Kluyveromyces lactis: one gene and its partners. The protein of the gene in region 2 binds, or shares a complex with, the protein of the main gene of each other region. Links are inferred from orthologs where the notes say so. Each region holds a gene or a part of one and is shown on either strand. Other genes may lie near its edges. The genes, in order: NSP1, POM152 and GLE1.

What was found.
Region 1: POM152 (region 2) and NSP1 share a complex: the UniProt entries of both Schizosaccharomyces pombe proteins name them as parts of the nuclear pore complex. The link is inferred for Kluyveromyces lactis from reciprocal best matches to the Schizosaccharomyces pombe genes pom152 and nsp1.
Region 3: POM152 (region 2) and GLE1 share a complex: the UniProt entries of both Schizosaccharomyces pombe proteins name them as parts of the nuclear pore complex. The link is inferred for Kluyveromyces lactis from reciprocal best matches to the Schizosaccharomyces pombe genes pom152 and gle1.

The regions. Positions count from the first base shown.
Region 1 is NC_006041.1:1,040,814-1,044,520, forward strand, and holds NSP1 (FG-nucleoporin NSP1), read right to left. Parts: upstream 2,802-3,707; coding exon 459-2,801; downstream 1-458. Other genes in the region: NUP192 (Nup192p), read left to right, coding at 1-353. UniProt on the Schizosaccharomyces pombe protein: Functions as a component of the nuclear pore complex (NPC).
Region 2 is NC_006042.1:1,588,355-1,592,113, forward strand, and holds the start of POM152 (Pom152p), read right to left. Parts: upstream 2,769-3,759; coding exon 1-2,768. UniProt on the Schizosaccharomyces pombe protein: Functions as a component of the nuclear pore complex (NPC).
Region 3 is NC_006039.1:1,325,311-1,328,853, forward strand, and holds GLE1 (nucleoporin GLE1), read right to left. Parts: upstream 2,176-3,543; coding exon 541-2,175; downstream 1-540. Other genes in the region: FMN1 (riboflavin kinase), read right to left, coding at 1-161; MRPL7 (mitochondrial 54S ribosomal protein uL5m), read left to right, coding at 2,616-3,485. UniProt on the Schizosaccharomyces pombe protein: Functions as a component of the nuclear pore complex (NPC).

The DNA of each region.
Region 1 (3,707 bases), on a different chromosome or scaffold from region 2:
TGATGTTTGAATCTGTTGGTGCTGCAACCTCCGGAAAAATCCGTGCGAATCTAACTTTAGATAACCCTCTCCAGATTACATCATACGAAAATGGTATTTCGCTCTTTGAAATCATTATACCCATCTTCCAGTTGATTGCGTCAGTGTTACTCAGCTCAGGAACATCAAGCCAATACGTTTTCCGTGAGGCAAGAAAATTGATATCTCATTTCAAGCAATTGGTACAAGGCGCATTAAAGAGAGATGCATTACTTGAAAAGAATGGAGTTGAAACCAAACCAGAAGGACTTGAAGAATTTGTTCAACTCATCATTTTGGTTTGTACACTGACAAATTATTCTGGAGCGCAATAACGATCAGGGCAATATGGTTACATGATTATTAGATTGAACCAGCAAAGTACATAGGTTTCAATATATAGATTATCATAGTATTAACCTCAAGGTCAAAAAAAAAAATCATTTCTGAGACTTCGTCAACGTCTTGAGTTTTCCTTCAAGTTGCTGAGAGTTGTTCTCTAGCGACTTAAGAGCATCTAGGTGAGAATTTAATAACTGGATCAACTGAGCGTTTTCTTCCTTATTAGGGAAGCTTGAGTTTGTAGCCTTATTGAACGTTTCGCTAACTTCGTTTATTTCGGTAATCAACGAGGAAAGATTTAGTGACAAAGAGTTTAGGTTGTCGTCAAGCATTTCCACTGTATGATAGGCTTGTTGTCTCTTTTGATCATTCGTTTTGCTTGTGTTGTTATTGTTGCTCGAAGAAAGCACCTCAGATAGCAGATCTTCAGCCTTTTGTTCATAAGAATCGAGGAAATACTCAAGTTCAGATTGTTGTCTTTCGATATATGAGAGAGACTGATCTACTCTATTTTGAGATTGTTCAGCAGTTAATGTATCAGAGTACAACCGACTTATTTGTTCACCACCTTGCATTAATACTTTGTCCCACTGATTTATCTTCTTGGCGTAACTCTCAAAGTGATCTGCGGTTCCAGAAAGTTGGGAGGTCCATTTTGATACTAAGTCATCCAAAGTCTTATTGTCGAGGGAAACAGGTTCGATAGTAACGGGTTTAGTAGATGTCTTTGTTCCAGTTGTAGTTTCCTGCTTAGCACTTTCAGTTGTTTCTTTGGTAGTATCCGGTTTCAGACCGCCCAAAGAAAAGGAAGGAGCTTCAGTTTTCGTGTCTTTGGAAGCGGTAGTTTCCGCAGGTTTACTTCCAAAGCTAAAAGCAGGCTTTGAATCAACCTTAGTGTCAGATGTTCTGCTATCGGCAGGTTTACTTCCAAAGCTAAATGCAGGCTTCGAATCGTCCTTAGTATCAGATGATTTGCTATCGGTAGGTTTCGCTCCTAACGAGAATGCGGGGCTAGGATCGGCTTTATTTTCTGAGGTGTTGGACCCTAAAGCAAAAGATGGTTTTGATTCTGACTTTGACCCGTCAGTCTTGTTATCGAACGAAAAGGCCGCTTTGGAAGCTGACTTGGTATCTTCAGTCTTATTGCCAAAAGAAAACCCAGGCTTGGATTCGGTATCGTCAGCATTCGTGTTCAAGGATCCCAGAGAAAATCCCATTTTAGAGGCAGGTTTAGATTCTTCTGTTTTAGATCCCAGAGAAAATCCACTTTTGGTCTCCTCTTTACTGTTGCCAGATTTAACATTGAATGCAAAACCCTGTTTACTTTCTGGTTTGTCATTGGAAGGTTTAGAGGGTTCAGGAGCCACTGGTTTTGATCCAAAGCTGAAGGCTGGCTTACCGGCTTGTTCTGTCCCAGAGGGCTTTGCTCCGAAAGAAAATGCTGGTTTAGCATCTGTAGGCTTGTCCTCCGTTTTTGAACCAAATGAGAATCCTGTCTTTGCGCCTGAGGTTTTTTCTTCAGGTTTTGATCCCAGACTTAGCGAAAAACTTGGCTTGTTGGCATCTCCAGCGGCAGAACCAAAGTTGAACCCTGAAGTAGCACCGGCTGGTTTTGTATCAGTGTGGTTCCCACCAAAGAGTGATGTGGCATTTGTATTAGGTTTCGAGGTTTCAGTTGGTTTAGCGGAAGTTGTGAAGCTTGATGTTGAAGTTGTATTGGCACCAAATATTGGTTTAGAGGCATTGACACTCGGAGTTGTAGTCATTGCATTATTTCCAGATAGTCCGAAATTAAAAGCGGGCTTTGCATCGGTCTTTTGTTCAGGTTGTGTACCAAATGAGAATCCACTCTTGGGTTGAGTGTCTTTAGCCTGTTGCGACCCGCCAAATAGCGAAGAGCTACTTCCTGCTGCTCCTACGGAGCCAAAGCCACCAAATGTTGGTTTTGCTGCGCTTGTATTCGTGGTGTTGCTGTTGTTATTGTTCGCATTGCTGGCAGCATCGTTTGCGTTAAAACCTCCAAAAGCAGGTTTTGGTGCATCGCCTGTACCAGCAGTTGTATTAGAGGCACCAAACGAAAATGGCGAAGCTGCTGGCTTGACTGCATTAGCGCCCTGTTGTGTATTCATACCAAAGCCTCCGAATGCAGGTTTTGTTTGTCCATTGTCATTGGTAGTGGTCGCTCCAAACGCTGAAAATGCATTTCCCTGCTGCGTATTAGAGCTACCAGCAGCTGAACCGAAACTTGCAAAAGCATTGCCACTGGTCTGGCCTCCAGTATTGCCAAAGAGAGAGGAAGCACCTGTGCTGGTACTGGTGTTTCCTGTGGTAGATACATTTTGTCCTGATCCAGTACCGGCAAACAAATTGGAATTGCTGTTCCCACCGGAAGCATTTCCCGCTGTAGAAAAGTTGAAAGTGGGGTTTGAATTGAAACTCATTTTGTTGATTAACGAACCCTTGTAATTGTCCACTTCATAGACTAGCTATGCCTATTCAAACCAATTCGTTTGCCATTATGTATACAATTTTCAGTTTATTGTTTAATCATATCGAGTTTTATGATCTTTTCGATTTTAGAAAGAAACAAGGTCCAAAAAATTTGAGTGAGGGTAACCTTGATATGATGCATATACGGATGGACATATAAAGCTTGACTAGCCAGAGTAAGCTCTGTTTTAAAGTTTATTTCCTAATATTATAATGAATGTATAGTAAGATTTATATAATGTACAGAATTCAATCGGAGTAAACCGAGCTTGATGGCTTTTATGTCTTTCGATTCTCTCCTCCAATATCAATAACGGTTAACAATGGAATAGAGTTTTCCTAGGAACTATAAATCACATTACCAACTTTCTGGGTAATTTGATCCAAGAGTAAGGCATCATATTTGTGTTTTTGATCATCTCGTATATCTCAATGCATTAGGTTAAAGTTCCTTTTGAAAAAAAAAGAAAGAGAGGTGAAAGTAGGGGCAGACGTATCCCCTCGAATTAGTTTGTGGTTTTCATGTCTACAATTCTCCACGTTTCTTAGACGGAATGTAATTTGTATTCTCTTTGGGGGCTATGTGCATTGGGTGCTGCTATGTTGAGCCTGGCGAATTATTTGATTTCGCAAGCGTGGTCTTTCTTGAATGTGCTAGAGTGTCTAAAACTTCGTCAAACGCGCGGTCCATTTGTTCTTCTTGCTGTACTTCTTCCTCGCTACTATAATCGCTATCAGAATACCCATCACCTTTCTTCTCCTGCAGATTGGCTTCAACTCCTACGACCGTATTAGAACTTTGGTCGACAGAGGAACTAGAAGCAGTTGGTTTTTTGTCATCTGATTTCTTCTTGAAA
Region 2 (3,759 bases):
AGAGACATATCGATGGTTTCTTCAAACCCTTGGCAGACATCATTTTTAATGTAGTTGAAATCGTCCAGTTTTGAGATTCTGTTGTGCTCAATTAATGAGTACGTAGGTTTTTTGAGATAACTTACTTGGAAAGTATGGTTCGGATCTACGATCTTGCCAACACAACTCTGGTCACGAATTGAAGCCAATTTATACAAACCTTCCTTCATAACCTTTAAGGCCGGTTTATAGTTGGAACTGAAAGTCACCTCTTCAGTTTCGAGAACGTCTCCCTTGTTATCCAAATGGCTATAGGTGATTCTGAAAGGTCCTTCACCTGAAAGTTTTAATGGAAGTTCTGCGAATGAAGCTTCTTTAATGCTGACTTGGGAGGAAGATTCTGACACAGCAAAAGAAGCAGAAGGAATATCTCTTCTAACGGTAATTCTGGCATCAGTACCACTTAGACCTACCAAACATCCACTGGAATCCTTCACAGAAACTAAAGATAGGATATGATCACCACCAATGTTGAAATTAGGTGTTTCGATCTCATAGGAAAAACTTTGAATATTCTCTTTATTAAACGAAGTTCTCTTATTAGAAGAAGTCTCTACTAAATCATAGTTTAACGTGAAAGGAGGCTCACCACTGAATTTAATAGGTACCTTCGTTTTCCCTCCAAGACATAATTTTGTCTCTAGCTTCCCTGAAATCTTTGCACTAGGTTTCACTCTCATGCTGGTTTTGAATGTGTACTCTTTCGAATCTAAGGAGATAGGAGATGTGAAAAGTTCATTTGACAATTCGGTGAAAACAATTTCATAACTGCCTTCTGATGTGGGTGAATAAGTAAACTGGTTTCTGGTTCCTTGGGAGCTGAATTTTTTTGTATCATATAGTTTACGTTCTCCTTGCTCAGTTTTGTATATTTTTGTTTTGTAGTAAAAGGGAGGAACACCGGTAAAAGTAAGATCAAAATTCAAGCCGACCTGTCCAACACATTGATCTAATATTGGGGTTGATCTTACAGATAATTGAGGAGGAATTGGTTTAGTTATCAGAACATTAGATTTTCCAATCACGGCACCGTGGCAATACCTCGATTTTACTGAGAGCAAATTATAAGAACCTGGCTCATCAACTTTGAATTCTAATGTTTTATCATTGAATTGTTTTTCGAAGTATCTCACTTTGGAGTTGTTATCTTCATGGGATAACTGAACGATGAATGGAGCATCCTTGTTAAAATCGCCAGAGTCCAATTTGACTATTAAAGACCTTCTAACAGAACTGTCGGGATTCATTTTTTCATCCAAAGATACTCTTGGTAAGTCGTGCACGTAGAATCTGTGGATCAAATCATACTTTTCTCTTACTTGTGATGATAATGAGGAAAAATCAATGCTATTACCAAATCCATCCACAATTCTTTCGATAGAGTAAACATGTTCACCGTATTCTTTGGTTGAAGTTTCTAATGCGATATCTACAGGGTACGAACGAGCCCATTTTAAATCTTGGACATCTTTTTGACTGTAGAATTTTGAATTCGTTAGCAAAGGTGATTCAAAATATTCTGGTTGAAGTGATGAATCTTCTAGTACGTATCTTTGGCCATTGATTGTCTTAGTATAAGTCAATTTAAGAGGTGGAGCACCTTGTACCTGAATTGAAACCTCATCATTATCTCCAACACATCTATCATTTTCTCCCTTTCCGTTAATGGAAGCCAATGGGCAGTGAGGTAGCACTAATTGGGATTTGTATATTCTCAAATTGATATTATTAGTGTCTAGAACGGTTTTCAACTGGTAAAACCCGATTTTGTTAAGAGGTACAGTAAAGTAATGTATGTTACGATCAGTTTCTTCCTTTGAAATATCTGCCTTGAGTGGTTTTAAATCGTTCTTGGTGAAGTTCCACAGTTCACCTTCATTTGAGTATAGATCTCTGAACTCTAACTGGACTGTATTGATTGTGGATGATGAGTTGACTCTTATAGGTAGTTCAATGGCAGGACCAGATTGGTCCAGTGGTAGACAAAAAGACGAGTGGAAGGGATTCAAATATGCTGTATTTTCTGGCAAAATTTTAATGGTATGTGCACCTTTGAAGTGTTCTGCCGAATTCATAGCCTTTCTTGGGTTGACAGAGTCACCTGTTAAGGACAAGTCTCTGCTGTGATACTGTCTCCATAATGACAATAGAAGCGATACCAATGGGATACTTTGTTCACTGGAGATAAACAGTGTGAGGGTTGCGGATGAAATAATCTGCAAAAGCACTATCAGTGGTTTGAACTTTAATTTGGGTATTTTGAACGTGGGGAGACAGTAAAAGAACAAAGAGTCTATTACCAAATATTTTGAAATGAAGTTTAACCTTGAATTCGATAGAAAAATCCCAGATAATGGTATCCCACTCTTAAGTAGGATTAGATCGTATAGTTTGTAGCATTGAATGATAAAAAAAACGACGAAGGCTAATCTTCTCTGACTGGCTGCATCGAGAACTTCAGTAGAAATCAAAGGTAGCTCCTTAATCGATTCACTCGCTGGGCCATTCTTTGCTCTACTAGTGCTTGACTTCGATTTTCCTGTGTAATTGGAAAAACCGGATATACAAAATGGATCTTCTTTTGGTTTGTTGATCTCTTCATTTCTTCGATCGCTTATTCCTCCTCTGAACGAGTCTTTATCTCTATTTCCAACGTTCCTACGCCTACTATCACTCCACATCGATGGAGTATGTGTATAGAACCCATTTGTTCCGAAACTGGAATCCATTATCTAACTGTATATGCGTCTGAACTTATCTCAGCTTCCCTTTTCAACAGAATATGATTCTAAAGTGCCAATACGCAGAAGTTTAATAGAAAAAAATGGGATCACGCATACAACTTATCACTTAGTCGCTCGCTTTTTAATTGACGATTGGTATGTAACGGGTGCCTGGATCGCGATTGCTTGTTGATCCTAGCCTGCATCTGCATACATGAGAAGACCAAACATAAGCTTAAAGTTTGAACTTCTGTTTGTTGACAAGATCTGAATCGGATATATCATTATGTACGATTCAGGTTTCGCTTCTGATCAAGGTACAATGGTCAAGGACGCAGCAACTCTATATGATCTGCCACTACGTTGTGGTCTTAATATTCGAATTATAGCCTCTTGAATTCTTCGCCTATCCAGAATTACCAGTGAGATCGTTTGCATCGATATTATAATGTCGATTCCGTTGCATAGCTCCATTGCTTACGTCAAATTCCCGTCAAATTCCCGTCATCCTCTCATAAAACCCTAGTCAGAAGCAAGGAGGACATAAATGCTAGTAAGCAAATGTCTTTACCCCATCTGGCTAATGAATCCTGAATTAGGTAAGTTTTATCATGACCTCATCTGATAAAAACCTCGGCAAATTTGAATGCCAGATTCAGTAATAGTAATGATAGCTAAGGGTCCTAACATATATAATATATATATTTACCAGAGAGAAAAAGAATGTTTTGGTTGGAATCGAGATACTTCCATTGTCCAGGATCGTCTCCTTTTTTGAATCACAACTGGAGCACTGGAACTTATTTGTTTTCAACACCATATACAGCTCTCACGTTCGTCGTATATAACATTACAGAGGTGCATTTGAATCTCCTTCTATAAAAGAAGTTTAGAAATTTAAGGTTTTGATTTATTTGATTTGCACTCTTACAAATAAGTCATTTACGAGAAGAGAGTTTGCTAAAACACGATACGTTAGAATCTGTAAGAGTTTGAG
Region 3 (3,543 bases), on a different chromosome or scaffold from region 2:
TCCACGATTTTTGGTAAATCATCGATGGGCACGTTCGCTGTAGGAATTCCTAACTCTGCTGATCCACGACCGAAACCAGCTATTACATCGACGAACGATGTGGTAATTGGAAAAGGAGGTTCAGGTGAATCCGGTATCGAAACGTCACAATGCCTTGTCATTGCTCTAGGTCTTACTGCGAGTTTTTGATGATCCGATCGTTATTCGTTTGTATGATAACCACATGGAAGTATTCACAAGATTCAAACTACGTTTTTAAAGGTTCGAACTCTTTGAGTATAAAGACTGTTGCAAGTAAGAATAAGAAAGAAAAGGGTAAATGGGCACGTGAAAATGGGTTCATGGTTTGTTCAACAGTTGCGGAGTATTTCTAGGCAATGAGGTACGCTCTCTCTCTGGAAATATTTGAATCCTCATTATTAAAGTTTTATGAGAACATAAGGCATATACTATGCCCTGAACACATGATGAAAACGAAGATCTGAAGGTATACATACATATATATATATATATATATTTTACTAGAGAAAACTCTAGCCGTTATGCTGCCATATCTGGGAATGATGATATTTGATTTGTATTATGCCATTCCTCGTTAATAATGCGGAGTCTTGCTGCACCAACGAATTTTTTGTCAGCAACAAGTGCAGTTAAATCAATCGAAATAACTTCAAGTAGTTTTGTTGCCTGAACGTTGTATGCTTGGAGCAATTGTGCTGCCGCAGCCTCCCACCAGTAGGCAAGAACGACGAAGTGTGTATTTGTAAGTAGATCCTTTGGAGTGTTGCCGATTCTAGCTAGCATTCTCCATGACCAAGAGATTGGGAAAGGATGCACAAGTTTCTGAATGTACGTTTGCGGTAGAGGTAATCTTGTGATGACAGCAAACAAGGTAATCATACCACCCATCCTTTCATCATATGAAATATCTTCTTCCCATCTGTTGTCACTTTGACGTTTCCATCCCATTCTGGTTCTTCCTTCGACTGTGTCTATGCTGCACGTGTAACCGATAACAAACGGACATTTCTTGATGAGTCTCGCCAGTAAGAACTCTTTGAGTTCCGGGTATGATGCAAGAAGACTTAGCGCAAGTGTTCCTAAAGGCAAAGCGCTTTCAGGTTTCACTCTGGCCTCAGATTCTGCTTGGGAAACAATCGCCTTAGCTATAAAGTTTAGAATCCATTTATAGGCTAATTGGTTAGCCTTCGTTTGAAGTACCAGTTCGGTAAGTTCATTGGTGATTGCATTCAATTGTGCAGTACTGTTGGTTAATTGTCCGAATTTTGGATTAATTTTCCTCTTATGTTGTGCTAAAGTTTTCTTCAAGGTGGGATCCGCCTTCACCGGTTCAATTATTTCTGTTTTAATTGTCTGAATCATGGTTTTGTATTTAGTAAAAGTTTCTTCGATTAACTTGAAATTTGTAGATTCTTTGGACTGTTTAAGTTTATTCCTCTCCAGTTGTTCTTGTTCTTGCTTCTTTTTCAGGGCTTCTACTCTCTTCGCTTCTTCAGCTTTCTTCTCCTTTTCTGCCATTTCTTGAATCTTCCGTTTCTCTTCCTCCTTCAACTTCTTTTCCATCTCCTTTTTATGCTTCAATTCTTCTTGTCTGCGCTTCTCCGCTTCGCATTCTTTCTGGATACGTGCTTCCTCTTCCCTCTTCTTTTTATCCTTTATGCTTTTAATTAAACGTTGATTCACCTTTTCAATTGAATCAATTTCCTCATTCCACACAGATTCAAGCACCTGGTCTTGCATAGGAAAGGTGTGTTGTTCCACCTCGTCAATCAAATCCTTCTTCTCTTGGTAATAAAGTTCTGCTTCGTCAATAAGAACAGGGCCTAAAGCTTTATTCTCGTGACCTCTCGTTGTAAGATGCGGTAGTGCATTCCTTTCAAGAGTGATATTTAAGTTGGAAAGCATTGAAACTATTTCTGGTTCTACCACATCCTCTAAAGAAATTGTATCTCCTGAACTAAACCCTTGCTCTTCACCTTGGCCGTCATTCTTTGAAGAATGGTATAATTTCGGTAGTTTTAACTGGATCCCATCAGATGGATCGCCAATATACGTAAACTCCCCGTCTAATTCATAGTCAGAATCACTGCTGCTGGTATTCTGACTCTGTTTCCGTTCAGCATTCTCGTACAATTCGTCAAATGAGAACCTCATCTCAATTGTCCTGATATGTGTCAATCGCTTTCTTTACTTTATCAAATCGGTAAAAAGCTCAATTCAAGTAAACGATTCGGGGTTAAGTTCGACTGTTATTACCTAAATGGAGAATCCAGCTACGTGTCTTTAAGTACGGGATCAAAAAAAAACGGCTGCAATGCATCAACACAAGGGCTGAAAGGTCAACACTCTCTATAATCATCAACTGAGCTCTACCTGGTTTTTAATCAAATTTCACTTTTTGTTGATTCTTGTCACGTGACGTATATTGAATTCTCTGTACTTGAAAGTTTTAAAAATTTTTCGACCTTTCGAGCTAAAGCTGTAAGATAATGATAGAGATTTGATCAGTTTCACTCGATTTAAAGCAGTATTCCTTCCCATTCGTAGGTTTATACATTCATTCGTTCGCATCTGTGAGAAGATACCAAGTGATAATGCAAGTGGTACGTGGTTTCCACAGTAGTTCAAAGGTCTCCAAAGCTGCTTGTGCTTTGGTTAAGCCAGTGCATCATTTGGTTAAGATCGACAAGAGCAAGCTATCCCCAAGGTTTCCTGAATTGAAATATAGTAAAAACGATATTAGATCTCCAGCATTCAAGCCTGTTGTTACACATCAAGACCGTGTTCGTGAGCATTATTATAATACTTTACAAAGCGATTTATTATTGATAAATTATTCCCACAAAAGCCAAACGAAGCTCGGGTTGAAGCAAAGAGAATGGGACGGTTCTTCTCCATATCACATTAACAGAGAACCCAGAAAACCTAAGGGCTCAAGTGCTCAATTGCCAGATATTCATCCAGTAACGTGGAAGAACATTCCAGACATCGAGTCCGTTGTTATTAACTGTTACGTCAGAGATGCAAAAGAGAACCAATATCTACCAATTTCAGCAGCATTACAATTGCAACAAATTACCGGGTGTAAACCAAAGGCTTTGTTCTCTAGGAATGATGTTCCGGCCTGGAAGGTCAGAAGAGGTACCCAAATGGGTGCTGTCATTACATTGAAAGGTCGTCCAATGTCTCAGTTCTTATCCACTTTGACTGAAATTGTACTACCAAGAATCAGAGAATACAAAGGTATCTCCAACAAGTCAGGTAACAGATTTGGTGGGTTATCATTTGGTATGACCAGCGATGAAGTCAGATTTTTCCCAGAGATTGATGCTAATCAAGATCTTTGGCCAGTAACTTTTGGTATGCACATCAACATCAACACAACTGCCCAAACTGACGTACAGGCTAGAACTTTGGTCAGTGGATTCGGTTTTCCTTTCAACGGTTCGGAAAAGATCAATTAATGCTCCCAAGTAGTTTTTATCCTGTCTTTCGTCCTGTAAATAACACTCACTAATAGGA